Daphnia pulex: one gene and its partner. The protein of the gene in region 1 purifies or fractionates together with the protein of each later gene. This does not show direct contact. Links are inferred from orthologs where the notes say so. Each region holds a gene or a part of one and is shown in the gene's direction. Other genes may lie near its edges.

Region 1 (10,049 bases):
TTGATTCACAGGTGAAGGAAGCTCAGCCCCAACAGAATGCACTGTTGTGACGTTCACTTTTGGAGATGAGCCCGTGCCCTACCGCAGCCGGATACCTGGACGAACTGTCACGCTCAAGCAATTCAAAGAAATTTGTGTGCCCAAAAAAGGAAACTACAAGTAAGGAAGACTCTTAATTATTTTTCACAAAGCTTTGTACTCTAATCATCTTTTGTTAATTAGGTACTACTTTAAGACGAATTGCGAGGACGACGTAGCGATGGCAGTCAATCAGGAGGTTATTGACGACTCTGAGATTCTACCACTCTGGGAAGACAAAGTGCTGGGTATCGTCAAGCTTGTCGATTAGAATTGATGATGTTATGGAAAAGATATTGTCTTGAAAACTTTACAAAAAAAAACTCTTTAAAATGAACCTGAGTTTATGTTGCAGCTTAACATTACCCTCCTTCAAAATCTTCAGCCCTGTCTTTTATTTTGTATGATGTCAGTTCTATTTTTGTCATTGTCGTTTTTCATCGATTCACGCGTTGTTTTTTCTCTTAACTCCTGTCTTTTGATAGAAATCGAGTTTCTTTTATTTCTTTTCTCTTTTATTTTGAGAAGCGTGCAACAATCGTGTCGTAGTAATTTACCCTTTTTCCAGCATGAATGAATATTTGTTTAATTGTCGCGCTGAGACTTCTTTCTTCCCTCCTGCATTTCCTTTTTATACTTTGTCTGGGCCAAAAAAAAAACTAATTTAAGAAAAAAAAATGTTGGAAGATTTGCCTTAGCCAGAATATTTTTTTTTTAACTTCGCAATCGTCTGATTTGTACACATCCATCGAGTATTCTCTGAAAGATAAGGAATGACATGTGTTCAACTCCGATTCCTCGTCTACCACTATCTCCATCCCGCCCAAATAAAACCGCCACTTCATCTGAAGCATTACTAATACGCAAACGTTTCATTACAATTTTATGAAATTGTTTTGTATAACTGTGGACATTCATTTCGACATCCAACTTGGTTTCATTATAAGTCGGGGTTTTTTATGTTTTTTGTGAAGCTATACTTGGCAGTTAAGAATTTCAAGCCAAACGACTTTTCAAATTTTCATTTGAAACGAAAGTAATCATAATTATTCACATTTTCACTTGCCATTTTTAAAGATAAATCTCATTTTGGGCGGGAATTTAAGCAAGAACTAAGTAGAAACCAATGCGATGCTAGCGACATCTAACTACAATCGAAGTGCTTGATTTGTCTATTTTCTTTTATGGGAAAAAGAAATAGTCAGATCACATGCGTTAGCAAAATATCCAAAGGACTGTTTGTCATTTTTATTTCATTAAAAAATCACGATAGCATATCAATAGTCTGCCAATGGCCGTAATAGACTAAGACTGTGACATCTCGGAGTCACTTGTATTCTATAGCTGTCGCTGTGTTAGAACTTATAAAATTAATTAATATATAAGTATTTACCATACTAGACCATCACGGAATTTCCGGCAAAATTACTACCAATATGACTAATTTAATGTTGGCATGTGGAAACGAACCAACGACGAAAGGACCGAGACGGACCTGATGTTGTTGCTACGCCGTTTCATTAGATTCTCCGATTCTCCCTGATGAACGCAGCAGCACACACACACACAAAGGAGGCAGTGAGGCACTATAGGGACGATACTATAGGGACGATTATTGGTCGGGAAAGAAAATGTCGTTAAAAAAACATGATATTATTATTTTTAAAAAATTCCTCTTTGTGAACTTTGTTTCGACATGCAAATCGTATTGATTAGCACATCACTGCATACGTACAAGTCTAGTTATACACGAATATCACGTGTTCCTATTGCTATGCTTCCATCACTACAGTTCTTCTTTACTTTGTATTTATATTTAACGTTCGATTTAGAGAGTAATTAACTTCTTCCCAGATTGTTGCGCTGAATGGTTCGACGAGTAACTATTCTGGTATGGCTAGCTCAGCCGCCCGTGGTGGTAGCCACGTCGTCTGCCGCCCCAGAACAGTCACTAGAAGCCCTAAGACGTGCTGCAAGTTTTGGGATAGTTAATTTACCTTAGTTGACTCCAAAATCAATGTGTAGTTATAGGTTGCGCCTGATGTAAATTTCAATGGTGTTTAGGGAATTAGTCGAACTAAGCTTGCACCTTTGATATAGGTTATGATAACATTCTAATGCCCTGTTCTTATTCATCAAGATGCGATAAAATATGCTCACTTTTCAATAAAATGATCATTCATTAATAAGGCGCAAATTCAGTCTATATTAATACAAAATCCGTTGTCAATTTTTTCTTGTCTTGACGCAGAAGATACACAGGAGAGAGAAAGGAAGGAGGATGAGCATTTCCCCAGCAGACGGCAAGCCGACCCGAGTGTAGTCCTAAAACTTTCAGTTTAATAGTTTATTTTATCAGAGTTCTCCGATAACTGGCTTAAAAGAAGAAGAAGAATCTAATCAGTAGAGGGAATAGGGAACGCGGGCCAGTTCAGCCAAAAAGCCTCGTACATCACACACGAGATTAATTTCTAGACGGCCAGTAAAGTTGCATATATAGTCAATTGCGTCATTAAAAGGAAAAAAAAAAAACAAATCGAATTTTATATTTTTTCGAAGCCAAACGGAACAATGGGCACGTCTGCATTTTAACTATAGAAAAATCATCAAAGATGATATTAATGAACCCAGTTGATTTTTCTTTTTTCCTTTCGCTCTCTTGTGTGTAATTTCAATCAAGCGCAAAACTCACAACTTTGGTTGGTGTTGTAATATATGGCCACTATAACTCTGCACTCTGTGAACTTGTAGATTTTTTTTTACCCCCCTTCCGCCAGCACTTTGGATTGGTATAAAATGTTGCGCAAGAATAAAATTTTCTTTTTTCTTGGATTTTTCCGGTACGTGAAATAATTTAGGCGACCCCACATCAGAGTGCGTCATTTATATCTTTTCGAGACGCCTTATTTATATTTTGTACTTGGGCAGCAGCTTTTATTTCTTCTTTGAGAAAATGGTGATGTCGGAAAAGAGATTATAATGATGATGAAGCTCCGGATGAGCTTACCGCGCCCGAAATCCATTGGCACTTTCCATTTGATTAATGGCGCAGCGGCATCGGCGGCCCACACACACACGCGCGACTATTTGCTTCATATATCGCGCATCACGTGTGTCCATTAAGGAAAGAAAAAAGATGAATCGAAATATATTTCCCTCGTGTCACGCAAACAGAAATTCAATCGATCTGCGGGATTATCTAATGATTCGGTTAAATGGTAAATTATACTGGGTTATATATTTTCGTTTATTTATAAGGAAGTGTTTTCATTGAAAACACTCGACAAAAATTACATCTTGCATCTGTAACAGACGCAAGACATCTCGTGATAGGAGTTCGAGATTCGATAGATCTCCGCACCAATAATTATAATTATTTAGGGTAATTATAATTATCACACAGATAACTTGTAATTTGTATTTTATGCAACACGGCTCTATAAGTACGGATTTCTTTATAAACTTAGCTAACACCTGAAGCATCACTGAAGTGCGATTTACATAAAAACTACTCGATTTTTTAAATGTTAAGAAATAGTTTATGACGCGCAATTATTTCTTACATAAAGTTCATTTATGAATATCTGCTTTAGTTTACTCGTGTTGTAGTTGTAACACGACGATAAGGCAAATTGCGTAGGTGAGGTTTCCTCGATTATGGGTAAAAACCCTTGCGGATATTGTCTATTATGAGACACAAATGGCGGAACATTTGTGGGGGAGGGGGTGATTCTTTCTTTTTGTCTGTAATCTGTAAAACAGAAATAATATGTTTGATAAATTCCCATATTCGGAAAATTGTGTTCTGCCATTAGTCAAGTTGCTATTAAAAATCTTAGCATGACAGACACATTCTTCTTTTTTGTCCGATATACTCACTGGTAGCGAGGTAATTTAATAACCTATAGCTGTGCGTTAAGAAAAACCATGGAATAACTGACTAATTTTCAGATTGATAAATTTTACTTTTATTGCTTTTATCGCTTTTATCGGCTTTTATAAAACCAGAGTTGATAATTTGATAAAGCGGTTGCAAAAAAAGGCTACTGGCAACAAAGCGACATGAGGGATTGAAATTCGGCAACGTAACTTGGCAGACGTAATTTGTTTTTACAAACCACGAAGCACGAACCACAATCAGAAAACCGATTTGAATTTGTAAAAAGATTTTTAAGTAAAAAAGCCATCATAAAAAAAGAAATGGGCTCTCTTTCCAGACCGTTTCATTCAGTTGGCTTGGGAGATGAAGAGATTTTCTGTCTTTCATTTTCACCATACGAGTGGTCCAAAAATTTCCTAGCAATCGGAACGGAAAATAAGGTGGTCGTTGCCAACGTTCAAAATGAAAACGTAAGCACATTTTGTATTGTCAAAACCTGTCATTACCTACTTGATACATCGTTATGTATCTATTGTTTTACTAATTGCTTTTGTTATCGTCAGGATGAGATTCAGTTCAATGTGATTCGTGAATTTCATCATTTTTGCCCAGTTGTTTCCTTGAGTTGGAGTGCACTCTCATCCAGTGATACAGTTCCTAAAGTCTGCAAATTTGCCACAGCAGGCATTGATGGGAAAATTCGGATTTATACAAGTGATCTTGCTCAATCAGAAAATGTTTTGGTAACAGGTTTAGCATACTTTGAAAGTCTTTTAAAAATAAAAATCAACATTATCTTTATAGGAATTGAGTGGACATGCTGACAATGTCAATTCAATAGCATTTCAACCAGACATCAATGAAAAATTCTTGATCTCTACTTCTGATGATTTTACTTGTAAAATTTGGTCTACAGAGACTGGAGATCTTTTAAAAACAATTCCTCTTCAATCTTCAGGTGATTTATAAATGAGATGTAAAAATGACAAAAATAACACTGTAGGATTAAAATTGGAAACCTTATGTAGGAATGGCCGTTAGATTCAATCCTTCGGAGCCCAGTAAATTCTTAGTGATGGAAAAGTCTGGCGTTACAAGAATCTTCAGTACTTTAAATTTTTCTCCAGTAACTTCTTTGAGCAACAACTTTAGCTGTCAAGACCCGGCTCTTGATGCTGATTGGTCGTCCTGCAATCCCACTCATATTGCGACATCATTAGGAGGTCGAATTCAAAATTGGGATTTAGAGGCATTAAGGTATACTATTATTCTTTACAAATGACATTACTTGAAAGCTGTCGACCATGGCAGATTGTTATTTGATTTCTTGGTTTAAAAAAAAAGGCTTCCAGAAGACACTACAACAGTTTCTTGTGAAATGGTCCGAAAAGTACGCTTTCATTCTACCATCGATACATTGATTGCCGTTCTTGGATCACCAGGCCCTGTTGTGACCGTACTCCGTTCATTAGGACCAGTAATGATAACGGATTCGTTAATGGTAAACTTAGCGTAGCAAATTTTTTTTTAACGTTGAATTTTCATAATAATATGTACTCCATTTAAATTTAGGCTGCCAGCGATCTAAGTTGGCATTATTCTTTACCCCTTCTTGCTGTAGCAAACGATCGATCTGTACGATTTTGGAAATTGCTACTAAAATAATCCCTTATTGTAAATTAATTTTGATTTCTGAATGCTGATCAAATAAAATTCTGAGCTCAACCAAACTTTAACTAACAATTCTCTTGGTAAACATATTTTGTTAAAACTTTTATTGAAAATTCCACTTATTAAGTTATGGTAATTCTTTTCTGTTGTTATATAACATAGGTCCTTAGTAATGACATGCCAATTAACAAACCTAAACAACTTTGACAAAAACATTTATACTTTCTCATATTAAATGATCAAATCCAATATAAGCCCTACTTCTTAAATTTAATATCCTGGAGAAATCATTTGTCACTATGGAATTTTTAAGCATATACATGCATTGAATTCAAAGATTTTTTAAATGATTCCATTAAAATTATATATATTATTAAGTTTTAACAGGAAATTTAACATAAATTTTGTTTGAAGAAACAATATGTTAGCAGGTTATAGCTTGCTGGTAAAGTGGTAACCTAAGTTCCTAATCTAGGCCCTTAATTGCCATAATTACCAGAACGCCAATACGTCTGTTTTTATTGGTCAGCAAATGCTGTTTGGATAAGTTTTCATTTTCTATTAAACTTGAGATCTAATTAAAAGAAAAAGTCAGGAGTCAAAACAATGTTTGTTTTCAAACCCATATCGCAGACTGCCGTTTAGCATGACCTTCGTTTACAAAGGGTTTTCTAAAAAGCGTAACGCAGAGTTCAAAAATGTGGAATGTCGATGATGCGAACCGGCGAGTCGCGAGCAAAAACGCGAGCAATGAAAAATAAGTAGAATAACAAACGAAATGAATGATGAAATTCAACACTAACCAAATGTAGGCAAATATCTAAATCCGATTAAAGTCAATGCACACAATATCAGTCCCAATAAATTCAGTAACTTCCATCTGCTGTACAGTAGGCTGTAGGCTTTTACAATTTAAGTTTTTATAAATATAAATATGCAAATATTTAAGCAACGATAAATGTTTTCAGTATCTTATGCTTTTACTAATATACGTTTTCAGGTTGTCACAATTTGACTCACAATTTAACTGTTTCCTTTCGACTTTTCGAGAGGGGAAAACTTCAAAAGCAGTTCCGCATCACCATTTTGCATTTCCGTATTTGCGTTCCACGAGTCTCTTTTGCGTTTTAGGAAGTCCTTTTTACAAATGGCGAACGTGGATGAGTGTTGAATGTTTGGGGACGTGTTTTGGATTTTTAGTGTTGTCATTTATCATGTACCTCTAAGGTACTTATTTATAATTGTATATTTTAATTTGATTTGATTCACGAGTCATCGTAGAATCATTTAGTAGTAAAAAGTAAATTTTTACTAATTATAAATTTTTTAAATTTTATTGTGCTGTCAGAAACGGTTCGTCTGAAAGCCGTCTTGGTTTGATTTCAAACAACCAACACAAACCATGAATCCGGCAAAGCAGAAAAACTGGAAACTCCTTACAGATCCACTTATAATAAAAGGAGCAGTGAAGCTCTTCCGATATGAAGGGCAAGTTCAAGGAGATCCCACCTACCCTGTAGTTCATGTTCGTGATCCACGTTCACAAATACAAAGGCTTATTTGGTCCAGGCCTGAAGTTCTTGATCTTCCTGTGCCAAGATTCAGGGTACCAATTTCATAAAATTTCTAATTTTGTGTATGTGTAATGTTTACTGATTCATTTTCAATTAACAGATAGATGCAGAGTATATAGGAGACCCACCTTCAGTTGAAGTAACAATATGCAATGTCAATGATAACATTGATAAAGTTTTTCTTGGAGATCTGGTATGTCTTAATATAGTGTTTTAATAGCTGTGCATATTTAAAATATCTTTTGTCGTCTGTAGGTGAAAAAACATGGTCCATTTGAGGAACTTACGATATTTTACCATCCTAAAAACAATAAACATTTAGGTTTGGCTAGAGTTGTATTTGAAAATGTAAAAAATGCTAAATCTTGTGTAGAAAAACTCAATCAAACCTCAGTTATGGGAAGACCTTTGCAAGTGTTTCTTGATCCATTTGGTAATTCACCAGCACTAGTGTCATTTTTTTCTATTGGCTGACAAATATTTCAATTACATTTTTAGGTGCGGAGTGCAAAAAACAGTATGAATCGTTAACTGCAGAGAAAAAGCCTGAAGTTAAACCCGAAATAAAAAAAACTGAACCCAAACCTAACGAGGAGCTCAAAGAAACAGTTATTCCGATTCCTCCGCCAGTGGTGCAAAGGGAGAACAGCAACAGTCAGCAGCAAAACACCAACAATCTTGAAACAGAGGAGCACTATTTTAATTCCAACGGCCATGTCGGCGTCGGTGTCGATGGGCCATTCAGTTTTCCACCACCAGCCTTTTCTGTTCCACCACCTTCTACTGATTTCTATGGAGGATGGCATCAACAGTTTTGGAACACGCCTGCTCCCTCTTGGGTGACACAACCGCCTCCCGAGGCAGCCCTTGTCAACAGTAATCACGAAGAAGAGAAGAAGGATGAAGAACCACTTGTTTTGGATTTGGATTCCCGAATTGAGCTACTCTTGAAGGGGAAGATTTCAGCCGCATTGAACACACCTGCTTTTCTGCAACTTCAGTTAGATGGAAGCAGTAATTCAGGTTCTTCGCGAAGTAGCAGTCGAGCAGCTGATCACGATAAAAATGTTGATCCGTGCGCCAGTCCACCTCTTTCGCCACCTCCTTCTCCCTTCCTCTCTCAAGAAATCTATTTGGAGCATTACAAAGCTGCACACCCAGAGCCCCCACAAGGTATGTGCTCTTAAAGTTTACCGTTATCTACGTAAACATTTTTCTAATGGATTTTTTCCCCTCAGCCATCCGATTGAGTGGAGAGATACTTAATGACGAAATGAGCTTATCCAGTTTAAGCTCTGGAGATGAAAAAATTTTCAACTCTGATGGAACAAAAATTGAAATCGACGACCAAAACGCAGCAGCTCCGTCATTCTCATCTCAATTCTTTCCACCACCTCCCAACTACTCGGCTAATGATCCTTACTTCGCATGGCGGGGTATGTATGGGAATGCATACGCTCAGCCCTCCGCTTTCGCCTCGGGAACAAATAATCCTGCTTACCCCAATTTCAATTATCCCCCGCCAAATGGGTATCCTCCTTACGCCGATGCATCTCAACCGTCTTCAGCCCCTCCTACGCAAAGCTCTGCTTTACCCGAACAAAGCACCGAGGATCCTCATGCTGCAACTATCGAGTAAGTGTTTTTAGCTTTCAAATTGTTAAGAGACTCCCTTTCTACAAATATTTGTTTTTAACAGGGGAGTCGTGGATCGAATAGTGGCGGAATTGAAACAAATTTTGAAAAAAGATTTCAATCGACGAATGGTTGAGGGAACGGCATTTAAAGGTAAACTTCAGTTTGACAATATTTTACAATCGTTTAACCTGACTCTTGTTCGTGTTCAATAGCATTTGAAAATTGGTGGGATGAGCAAAGTAAACAGGAAGCCAAGGGACCTGCAACGAAATCTATTTCTCTGGGCTCATCAGCATCAGTGCTTCCGCAACCCGTCCAGCCATTAACGCAAACTAGCGAACAACAACCACAGGCCGCCGCCGCTAAGAAAGTGGGTTTCGGGTTTGAAGGTCTCAACTTAGGTTTTGGATTAGGTTTAGGACTCAGGGCTTCCATGCCTAAGCTTCCTTCATTCAGGGTATGTAAACAACATAAATGGTATTTGTCGCTTAGACGCTACAATTAACAAATTAATTTCCACAGAGGAAAATCAGACCACCTTCACCACCACCTATGGATGATGATTCTCGAAGGAGATTGCACGATTCCGACGATGAATCTAGAGACGTAAATTGAACTTTGTTAACCTTATTTATTTGCTGTCCTTTTAATTTCGTTTGAATTGCTTACAGAACCGGAACGATAGACGATACGGTCAAAGAGGTCGTGGTTCTTTGCGCTCCTTGTATAGTAGTAGTAGCAGCAGTAGTAGTAGCAGCGAAGATGAAGTAAGTTGAACAATTTTTTGCGTAGTTGATCACAGTTAATTTTAAACTTATAAATATTCCAGGATCTTGATGATAGAAGACGAAAGCGGAATCGACGGCAACGAGGAAGTGTGTCATTTTCTTCATCATCGTCTAGCTCCGAAGATCGATCCCATTCGGATTCCGATTCCATTTCCGGAGCCGAAAGTATTAGTGAGGGAAGTCTACCTGATTCACCCCGTCCACTGACGAATAAAGTGAGCCGGAAAGAAATCAACTTAGAGGTGAATTTGATTTCTTTCTTTTCAACGTTGTAAATCCTTTTACTTACGTGTGTGTTTTTTTTAAACAGTTGGAGGAAGTATCTCCAGATAGGCCACCAACTCCCGGTACGCCTGATATTCGCGAAGAACCCGAGGATCGTTTGATTCACCTTATCGATCAGGTCAAAGAGAAAGAAGA
Region 2 (10,565 bases), on another chromosome or scaffold:
AATCGGCTTGTTACATTTGTAGTTTTTTGGTTATTATTTATCGATTCATTTAAATGCTGGTCCCCGGTCGTGAGGACAACTTCTTTTTTCAACTCGAATAATAATAAAAAAAGAAACAACAACAACACTCGGTTCGTGATTGCCGCGACACGCAAAGTTAAACAAAAGGAGAATGCACGCCAAAAAAAGAAGAATCGGGAAAATAGGAGGCTATACATCCATTTTCTCGTCAAAGTTCTTTTATTTTTTATTCGGCAAGTTGTTGGTTCGATATTTCCACCCAGTTCTCCTTGATTGGAAGACATCCAACTTGAAATGAGTTGTCATAATATCGATCTGTTGGAGCGGTGCTAATCACTTAAATGTCTGCCGAAAAAAATAAAACTAAAAAAAAAACTTTTTTTGATATTAAAAAGAATCAAAGCCCCCCGGGTGGTGGGTTCGTTCAATTTATTTCTCCACCCTAGTCACGGCTCATGGCTCACGAGAATAATTGTGTGATTAGATTTCACGATAGATTTACGAGTCTTTGATGCTAATCTTGGACGGCGGCTGGTTTTCCCTTTTGTTTCTTTCTTTTAAAAAAATACTCCCACCCAAAAGTCCTCGTAAATTCAAAACAACAGACACACAAAAATAATAATAATAAAGATTACTGCACATACTCGATTCAACTCCATCTTAAGAGAACAAAAAAACACACTGGATGATTGTAGCAAAAAAAAAAAAACCTTATATATTTATTATATAGCTTCCCCCCCCCCCACAAGATTTTTACCATTAAAAGACGCCCAAGTCGTAAACCCCCTGCAGTGTAGTTTTTTTTCTTTTTCTTCATGTCAGTTTTGGAACCGTGATGAAGTTGATATCAACCATTCTCCCAACAAATATTTTACGAGTAAAGAAAAAAGGGGAGAAAATGAAAAAGAAAAATATACTCGTATGTGTGTGTGTGCTTGGGCATTCATCAATAAATCAATAAGACCTCCCTCTCTCTCTCTTTTATCGCCCTTCAGGGTTTTTTTCCTTCTTCTTATCAAAATAAAAAGAAGGTCATTTAAAAATGTATAATAGGAAAAAAAACGGGTTTTTCTTCCTTTTTTTGATGGGATTTATATATCCACTTTGAAATGGATTTTCGAGAGAGAGAGAAAAGTCCACTCTCATTAAATTCTTCCGCATCACATTGCGGAGTACACACATTGTACAGCTCCAAGAGAGAGACGTACTACTAACAATCAAGGATCCAATTTTCTAATTAAAATCTTTCCACGGCTGTCGGACTGTGAGAGAGACTCTACAAGGTGCAACAGTGCGAGTAACTGCAATCATCGTCCGATTGAATTCAAAGGATTTGACTCTTTTTTTTTTCAAATTCACAATTGAAACGCCCCCTTTTATCCCATTTCAGAAACTCGATTCAAACTAACTTTACGGATTTTTTTTTTAAACATAACATTAAATACGCATATTTGATTACCTAGACACGATAACCGTCTGTGAGCTTTGACCGCAGATATCAAAAAGCCCATCCTCTTATATATATATACCATTGATGAATAACAAACAAATCACGAAAAACAAATGACGACCGGCCCTGACTGTAGAGCTCGGGAGTTAAGGGTGAGATTTTTTCTCTCTTTCGGGTGAACTTTCAACTTTTTCACGATTAGAAGATCGTTCACATTTTCGATAGAAAAATTTCAATGAAATATGATTTTGTTGGAAATGTCCTTGAATCAACGATCGTATCTCGCCTTCAATTCCAATATATCCAATCGTGACTAGATAACAACTTCTTTTTTAAAAATTTTTAAAGGGGTCACATCTAAAAGTATTGATCGCCGTCAATGGGTGGAACAACTTTGTGTAAACACGGAGCCCTTCAACGCCACCAGCTGATAGGAACAACACACACAAAAAAGGTAAACATTCAAAAAATGTTCCCGTACAAAAAAGTGTACACAGCGCGGTCTATATATTTTTTCCCCCGTTCAAAAACTTTGAAAAAAGGATTTTATATTTTTTGTAAACCCCGTGTGTGTGTGTGTTTTAACACCCCCGCAGGTGACGTCATCTCCTGGCATCTGGAACAACATTCACACCTCTCCCCCTAAAACATAACATTCTCACATTGATCTTTTTTCCCTTTCCATTTTCAAAGGAAAAGGAAAAAACACGAAGTAAAATTGGATTGTGTCGGGAGGATATAACGAGGTGAAAGACGAGAACGGAATCTAATAACCCCCCCAACAAAAACTATTCCCCCCCGTTTGTTTGATATTTCAATCCTAAAAAGAAGAAAAAAGGTTTCGTTCGGGGAGTATTTAGGTCACGTAGAGAGTTATGGAAATGTGTATCGGAAATGGATTTCAATATACACACACACACGAAAAAACGATCCTTATCGATTTGATGAATATTTTTTCTTCCCTCCTTCTACTTTTGGAAATAACTCCTCCCTGATTTCCCCCCCCCCCTCTCCAGTCTATTTCGATAAACATCACCCTCTAAAAAAGAGAAAAAAAACGTTCGTGTCGTGAGTGGAGGAATGCAGCTGTGCGGTAATCATAGTGAGCACGTCCATTTTAAAAGGGAAAAAAAAAGCTTTTAAAAAACAAGAAAATTTTTAGTTGTTTTTGTTTCTTCAATTTGAAAGGAAAATAAGCACTTGGAGGGGAAACTAATATTATCACCTCTTTCACTTCTTATTCTTGTGTGCTAGAGAATAACACATGTACACACACACTCGCAGGTACCGGAAGGAAAATCTATCTGAAACTTCCGGGGAGGGATATCAAAAAAGTTTTGTTTCATTTCCCCCCAGCACGTTGTTTGAGCTACATCCCGTTTTAATATACATACACAACGATCGAGAAATATTTTAATTATTCGTCACGTTGTAGCCTATATAATCCGGAATTCGTCAATATATCTAAAAGGAAAGGCGGATAAATCTAGAACTGTACACATCACACACACGCACGTATACAGCCCAACAACACTGGTTTCGTGATGTTTGTGCTATCGTCCCGTTTGGGAATATATAGCATGCCCTAGCTCCTGGCTCGACCGCAATTGTATCCAACTCTTAATAAGTTAGTCCTATCTCACTAATCTTTTCATTTCAAATGGGTGGGGAAAAAACGTGGAAGAAGATGGAGATAAAATATAATCGTTCACTCACCGATGACGTTGATTGTATCTAGACGGTTGTAGATGATTTAAAAACTCACTCACAACACACTAAAAACCACGAGGTAATAGAAAAAAAGGTAATCCTCTTCAAGTTTTCCAACAAGGCCCGTTGTGAAAAGATGGTTGTTGCATCGAGCGTGGCGAGATTTGCGTTCAACTTTTTGGGAATTTGAGAAACCAAAAGATAAAAATGGCTTGAAAGTAATTTCCAAGACTTGGTTTGCCCCCACCACCACTTTCGTTCTCGTTCTTTCCTGTTGTTTTTGTCCCGCACCGGTTCACGTTGGCCGGGGTAGGTGGGACGGTCGTGACTCGACTCTCGACTGCAACTGACTCGGATCGGACGATTCGGCTCGTGCTCGACCATTCTGCTCACCAGAGGCGCCACTAGTAATCGACTTCCTTGATGTATCCATCCGCCCGTTAAATAGATCCTCGTTTACTTTATCAGATCAATTACGCAATTCAATCAAGTAACACATGAATCAATTAAAGTAGGTTTAACTTTAATGTTCAATTTACATGCATCGCTGTGTCAAATGAAAAACATTTTCACCAATTTCACCAATCAGTTTTCTTGAATTATTGTGCTAAATTTAATCTGAAATGATACTTTAGTATTTAATATGATTTTAAAATCCAAATTCATGTATGCAAAACACATCATTAAAAAAATAAGAGAAGAAAAGTAAAAGAAATTGAGTTGTATGAGGCACGGCAACATTGCGCCGCCATTAGCACCGTCAGATTTTATTTTTAAACGTGCCAGACGACAATTTTTTCAAAATATCTCAAGTCTCTAAAAAGTGAAGGAACTGAATAAATACCGAACAAATGGATAGAAAAAATTTGCTGAAAGCCGGGCGGAGAAAGTATGTGTTAAACAAGTTGTGTTAAGTTGATCAAACATGCTAAGATCCCATTTTCTTTCTTTCAGTTCATTGAATGTCAGTTCACGTTCGTTGAATGCATCATCTCGTAATTTGGCTGAATCGTCAAATTATGCCTTAGAAAATTATGGGACAGCTTTACCCGTAGCTGTAATTGAACTCATTTCCTCGGCAGAAAGTAAGTTGATAAATATGTGACCCTACTCGACCAAATTAAATTTCATGTTCGCTTTCAGGGAAAGCGGAATGCAGTGTTACACTGTCTAAAGATGGCTGGGCCTGGTTTGTGTGTGGACGGCAACTTGTCATATGGAAGTACTCCAAGGCGGCTGGTGCCAACACAGTATCAACACCTTCAAGGAAATCAATTGCTGTTTCTTCCCCAAAGTCTCATGAGTTGACCTTACCTCCAAGTGATCTAGCACACAAATCAGATCTTGTGGCGGTTTTCTGCTCAGAAGCTGACAGTGTCCCATCGTGCATTGCTGTGTCACCAGAAGGAACTGTCCGTTACTGGGATTCCATTGCTCACGAAAACTTTTTTGTTGAAATCAATGCTGATCTTCAGGTAAAATTTCAGATTAAAATTCTTATCGAACAACAAGTAATTGCAGTATTGAAATTAACAGGGTCAAGAATGTGATACTCTGAGTGAAGCTATGCCTCTGGGCTGTTTGGTAGCCACAACAACTGCCAGTGTCCTGCTGTTGACACCTCGCCTGACTGATGGCAGTCCCAACATACAGTGCCGGAATTTCAAGACACCGCAGGGACTATTAGGTTCCATTAGCCGTAGAATGTCGTCGTTGATATTTGGACCCATTTCAACACATCAGTCGATGGAGACACGGCTAGTCAAACTATTGAGCCAGAAAAAAGATAGTCACACTTTGGAAGTTCAAATCCTTTGCAGTCAAACTTTGCAGTATTGGCAGGTAAATCTACATAAAAATCTGCAAGATAACCCACTAAACTTGTTTTGTGTCTAGGTTGGTGAAACAGAGCGGCTATTATATCAGTGTGATATTGACAAATGGGCTAGGGAGTCTCTTATTGCGCACGTCTGGAGCCGAAGTGACCGCAACAGCATCCACAAATTGAGAGTCTGGATTCTTGATGCCCAAGTTTACAAAAACGACTTAATCTTGCTGATCGCCGCCTCCAATCCCAACCTGAGTTCCCAAATCCAATACGCCTTGGCCGCTCTGCCAATGCAAAGTAGCTCGCCACCTACTGGTTTTTCCTCCTTTTGTGTCCTCAAGTATGCCACAGCCATGGCTGAGCGATCAGATTCATCTTTACAGGAATCGTCCCCTCCCCAGTGTCGCTTTGTTCTCGTGGGATCGACGGCCTACTTGTACTCTGATAAATGGATCCTGTGTGTACCGTCCAACGAGCCACTAGAAGAACCCGACAAGCTTGAAGTCAAGGCTGCCAATGAACGTTTCCTAGGTGCAGGAGTCTTTAATCAGCGACCCGTTTTCTTCTCTACCCGTCACGGTGTTTTGATTTTACAACCTTCAATCGGTGGACCGAATGACAGCCAATCTTTTATTGATGAATCCATTATGGAACATTCCCAGATTATGGCCGAAAACCTTGATCCCGCCCAGGTATGTTGAAAAGTTTATCAGTGTTTTTCAAGGTGAATTACAGCATTTCATTTTACTTGCAGAATGAATCTACCTCATCAAAATTGAGATTGGCTTTCATCAATTTCTGTCGCAAAAATATTTATGAAACACAGTCGCTTCTAGAAGAATTATTTGCCTCTCCAACCAGTAAAGGCCAAATAGATTCGCTCATGGATAGAATGGTGGTTGATTTCAGTCAACAAATCATCGACGACTATCCAGCCACAGATCCTCGTTGGACAGATTCAGTTCCAGCTGGCCACGAGTCAACGTTCACCACCGTCTCCTTATTAGTCCTGCATCAGTTGGAAGATAAAGTCAAGGCTCACGACCTGTTCCTTACTTTCCTTCGGTACGTCACACTATATACTAGTCTTTATTCATTAACATTCTGTTCACGTTTTCAAAAATTATTCAGGAACATGTCAATTTGGGGCGACTTGACAGCCATTGGTGACCGTCGCGGTGCTAAATCTAGTGCATTTGTTTTGATGGAACATGCCGAGAAATTGCGTGCATCCTTGGCCCTACGAGCCCTTCATACGCCTGGTTCAACACTTATTGATGCTTCCATCCGACGGGTCCTTCAAGAAAGAGCAGTCGAACTGACAAATGACAAATTGACGCAGCAGGATCTCTTCTACCGACACATTACTGCGCTAGGAGATTTTTTTCCTTGCTTTGTGGATGTCGTCTGCGAAACTGTGGCCAACATGAGTGGCTCTCCATCCGATAAAGTTAAACCAATCAGCAACGCTACGAATTTCATAATTGCCATGACCAATGCTGCCCGCGACTACAGGGCTCGCAACATTGAGCTGCTGGAGCAATGCGAAAACAGTTTCGAAACCCTGCCCTGGATCGCCGTAATTATCTCTTATAATCCGCTCGTATTAGAAAAGTCTTGACACGTTTCTCTTTGCAGTCACCTGGACCCAGAAGCGTTCGGTCTTCCATTATTCGGCTGCTACATCTCTTAGTCGAGGAAGGAGTGGCCAATGCGGATGACGCAGGTCTCCGAAGCAATCTCTGGAGTCAGGCCGCTAATCTAACCGACATCTTACTCGACGCTCTTAAAATGTACCTGGAGAGTTGCGATGAGCACAGCCCATCTTTCGCCCAGGTGAAGCAGGAGGTCCAATCGGAGCGAAGCGCCATCTTAGAGCTATTCCTCAGAGGACGTGAATTTGAGCGGGTAGCCCTGCTGGCCGAAAAATACGTGGACTTTGGAGCCTTACTCACCGTCTGCGATGAAACCATGAACGAAAACAAGTTGAACGTTTACATAGACAAACTCGGTGAATCTGGGTTTACTGAATTCGCCTGCAAATGGTACGTGGTTGTCTAATTAATTACCTTTAAACCTTCATTTAATTGACTCCGTAATAAGGTACATGCAACGCAATCAACGCGAGAAGTTGCTACGACTCCGTCGATCTGAAGTCAGCACTTTTCTCGAGGGCCATCCTGACATTCTGTGGGTGGATCAGTCAGAAAGCGAAAACTATTTGGACGCAGCTCACACTTTGACCAATTTGGCATGTGTAGAGAAAGATCTCTATAGGTAACACATCTTAGAAATAATGTACTTCAATGTGATTGCCCAGGATTGCAAGTTTCAAAACTATTCCTCTTCTTTCCTGTCAAGTCGGAAGAGAACGCTGCTGAGCCTAGCGAAATTACATCTTGTCACTGAAGAAAAGTTGGGCCCTGATCCGGAAGTCGTTCAAGCAGAACTCGAGAACGTAGAGGCTGAACTCGCATTACTCACGCATCAGGAGCAACTTCCAGTCGTGGTTTTACAAGCTTACGACATCGACCCTAACACTATGCGTGTGTTCACCGCCTCCGAATTGATGGAGGTTTGCCATCATCAATCAAAGAAATTCTTTTTCAAAAAATGATTTTCAACCTTTATTTCTTTACATTCTAGATGTACATTTGCGACGAGAATGTTTTAGCCAACGAACTGGACTTTAAAAAGGCGCTGGATTTGTTGAATTTCCTCGAGAATCAAGAAGAAAGAGAATCTCGTCGACTTGGAATCTGGGCGCGGGCCATTCTACGAGATGCGTGGACACAGTTTGACACGGACAATGTGCTGCAGTCAATCAGCGGAACGATCTTTTTTAAGATTATTGAGTTTTCTCTTGGCACTGGTACAATTACTAAAATATTTCGAGGCTATTAGTCAGTTGGCTCCTTCATTGACGATGTGTTATTTGCGCAGGCGAAGATCTGGCCGATTTACTGCCCAACCCAGAAGAAATCCTGCGTGAGCCGCAGTTATCCGAATTGGCCGGCAATGACGTGTTCCAGTTTCTGCTGAAGGCCGTCTACGAGCACGTCAATTCTCTAATGGAAGCTACTCGCTAAATATATAAAAGATAATGATGCTTCATTTCCTCTTTGTTTATTTTTAGTTTTTCTTACGTGTCAAAAATGAGTTTGTGTGTCTCCAAGACAACACCAAGAAAAAAAGAAAAAATACAAATTCCCCATTTTCACATTGTTTGTCTTTTTTTTTTTAAACAAGGAAAACACTCGACCAGAATGTGTAAAAGTGTTGTTCAATCTTCTTGTATTTAAAGAGCTTTACGACGACGACGATTTGTGTACATCCTTTTTTAGAAGAGAGCAGATGGTTTGCCTTCCATCGGAGACGTTAGATTGCCGTGAGCTACTGGATTGGGGGAAAGGAAGAAACAAACAAGGAAATCAACATGTCTTGTGAGTCGATTGATTTGCTAAACATACCGTCGTCGGTGCTGAGACTGCAGTTGCCAAGAAGTGGCCGTAAAAGAGGACTACTGCTCTTGGAATGGCCCAAAAGGTGAGAAGTAGTAGAGTTGCTAGTGTAAGTCACTAGAGTGCTGTTTTGATTATTAGTTGTCGGATCCCAGATAAAGAAATAGTACAACGAGAGAACAGCAGCTGCTATGGAAACACTGCAAATGTATGCAACGACGGTGAAGACGCGGATGAGACTGGTGTTTCTCTCGTGTCCCCTATGGGTCTTGTGATTTTCACCTGGCATTATCACGCTGGAATAGGCCGGCTTCGACTCGAAAAGTTTGTTCAAACAATCACTACCACCCATGACTATTGATTTCAATGAAATCAATGTCAAACTTGAAGAAGAAATCCAACAGAAATGTATAGTATATCCGATTGGGACGAAAGGGTTGTCGAATCAAATAACACAGACGCGTCACAAACAAAGAAAGTGTGATAAATTGCGAATTGAAAGAAAAAAGAAGAAAACCGTTTAGAAAAGAGAACTGGGAAAATGACCGACTGGAACTAAAAGGGAAGTCTGCTCGAATGCCTTAAACCGACGCCTTTTAGTTTATTTACTTGATGGACCAAACAGGAACCGGTGGGGGGGAGCCATTTTAGAACACAACGACGCATCTTCATCAGCATCCCTACAAGCATGTTGACATGAAAGAAAGAAAAAGGGCGAAACGGAGAAGGGATAGAAAGAAAAGAAATCGTGCATAGCTCCCGCGCATGCTCTTTGGCTGCTGTTCCTTTTTTACAATCAAGTTTCTTGTCTTTTTGGTCTTTCCCTTGAGCCTCTTTAGACCGCGCTGTCGGCTCGGATTCAATACAAGGACAACCAGGGAAAAGGTCTTCATCTAAGGGCCTTAAACGTCCAAAACGGGCTTACTCTCACCCCAGCAGGATCGTTCAATCTTGTCAGAGCTTAAGACCGCGCTCACTCCTACATCAATGTCTATAAAAGTCCGTATATCAGAAAGATTGAAACACAATTTCCCTGTTAGTTCCCACACCGACTTATTAATTGCGCACTATACGAAATCATCTCCGGGCGGAGGCAGCGTGAGAGAGTTTGACGGGTCTACAACACTTCCGATTCCGGAATATAAAACAAAAAAATACATATGAAACAAAGACGTAGAAACTTAACAGTCTATTCGAGCGGGGAGGGTTTCCAAACGCATTGCACGTATTCCCACCATCACTACCGAAGCCGGCAGCAGGATCCTTGAAGCGATCAATATATATGAAACACTTTGCAGAAAAGAGAGAGAAAAAAAAACAAGATCGTGAGGCACATATTAAGTATAATTGACAACAAAGCTGAACGTGACTGGATTTGTGAAGCAACCGAATAATAATAAAAAAAATGTTTCGTGAACGCGAATTAATTTCTCGGTCGAATTCGAGTTGTGAGCCATCAGCATAATCGGAATCGAAAAGTCGCAAATGGAGTCGCCAGCTTACGTGGGTGTGGCGTTATTATCAAATTAACTTGGCCACGTCGTTGATGGAACTAATTGATTTTAAAAGACGCATCGGTAGTAGTAGACCCTCCCTTTAGGCTTGTCAATGTGTATGAACTCTGCTCTCTAGCTTGTTAATATTATAGAGACTGGCTGTAGTAACTACTTGGGAACGGCGATCAAATTGAGTGCAGATCAACATCTGAATCTTCTTGGGCTTGGGGCCCATTTCAGAGTCTACACGGAATTTTCTTGCCGACGTTGGCTCATTGGTAAAAGAGAAAATCTAATCGACTTCTGGAGATTATCGAGTTCTTTTTTTGGCAGTGATACAGGAGCAGTTGAAAGAATAAATATTTCTCTAGGGGGCGATTACCCAGTTGGCTCCTTAACTATACTGTCAGCCGGATCGTCCATTTACGTCATCGTCATCCAGCCGGCTGTCGATAATAACGCAGCTGCAGAAGGAAACCAAGGAAAAGAAGAAAATTTTCTTATTTTTGATTTTTTGTTTAAAAGGGGGGTCTGTTGGGGATGGAGATTTCATTTTGACTTAGAGTTATTTGCGCAGGCGGGAGTTTCCCTTGATTTAA

The links.
Region 2: the proteins of nucleoporin Nup37-like (region 1) and nuclear pore complex protein Nup133-like purify together in Homo sapiens (affinity purification with mass spectrometry; 4 studies listed by BioGRID and IntAct, with this or other methods). This does not show direct contact. The link is inferred for Daphnia pulex from reciprocal best matches to the Homo sapiens genes NUP37 and NUP133.

What each region holds. Positions count from the first base shown.
Region 1 is NC_060025.1:2,846,351-2,856,399, forward strand, and holds nucleoporin Nup37-like, read left to right. Parts: upstream 1-4,072; 5' UTR 4,073-4,278; coding exon 4,279-4,428; intron 4,429-4,521; coding exon 4,522-4,701; intron 4,702-4,762; coding exon 4,763-4,916; intron 4,917-4,986; coding exon 4,987-5,215; intron 5,216-5,302; coding exon 5,303-5,459; intron 5,460-5,530; coding exon 5,531-5,623; 3' UTR 5,624-5,688; downstream 5,689-10,049. Other genes in the region: axin-like, read left to right, coding at 12-159, 223-349; histone-lysine N-methyltransferase SETD1-like, read left to right, coding at 7,032-7,235, 7,304-7,396, 7,459-7,636, 7,702-8,376, 8,442-8,838, 8,903-8,991, 9,054-9,298, 9,364-9,447 and 3 more. UniProt on the Homo sapiens protein: Component of the Nup107-160 subcomplex of the nuclear pore complex (NPC). The Nup107-160 subcomplex is required for the assembly of a functional NPC.
Region 2 is NC_060023.1:10,062,109-10,072,673, forward strand, and holds nuclear pore complex protein Nup133-like, read left to right. Parts: upstream 1-3,628; 5' UTR 3,629-4,032; coding exon 4,033-4,070; intron 4,071-4,135; coding exon 4,136-4,266; intron 4,267-4,324; coding exon 4,325-4,656; intron 4,657-4,717; coding exon 4,718-5,023; intron 5,024-5,077; coding exon 5,078-5,701; intron 5,702-5,763; coding exon 5,764-6,074; intron 6,075-6,140; coding exon 6,141-6,588; intron 6,589-6,647; coding exon 6,648-7,054; intron 7,055-7,112; coding exon 7,113-7,286; intron 7,287-7,370; coding exon 7,371-7,584; intron 7,585-7,655; coding exon 7,656-7,881; intron 7,882-7,952; coding exon 7,953-8,098; 3' UTR 8,099-8,229; downstream 8,230-10,565. Other genes in the region: uncharacterized protein LOC124198669, read right to left, coding at 8,350-8,405, 8,480-8,822. UniProt on the Homo sapiens protein: Involved in poly(A)+ RNA transport. Involved in nephrogenesis.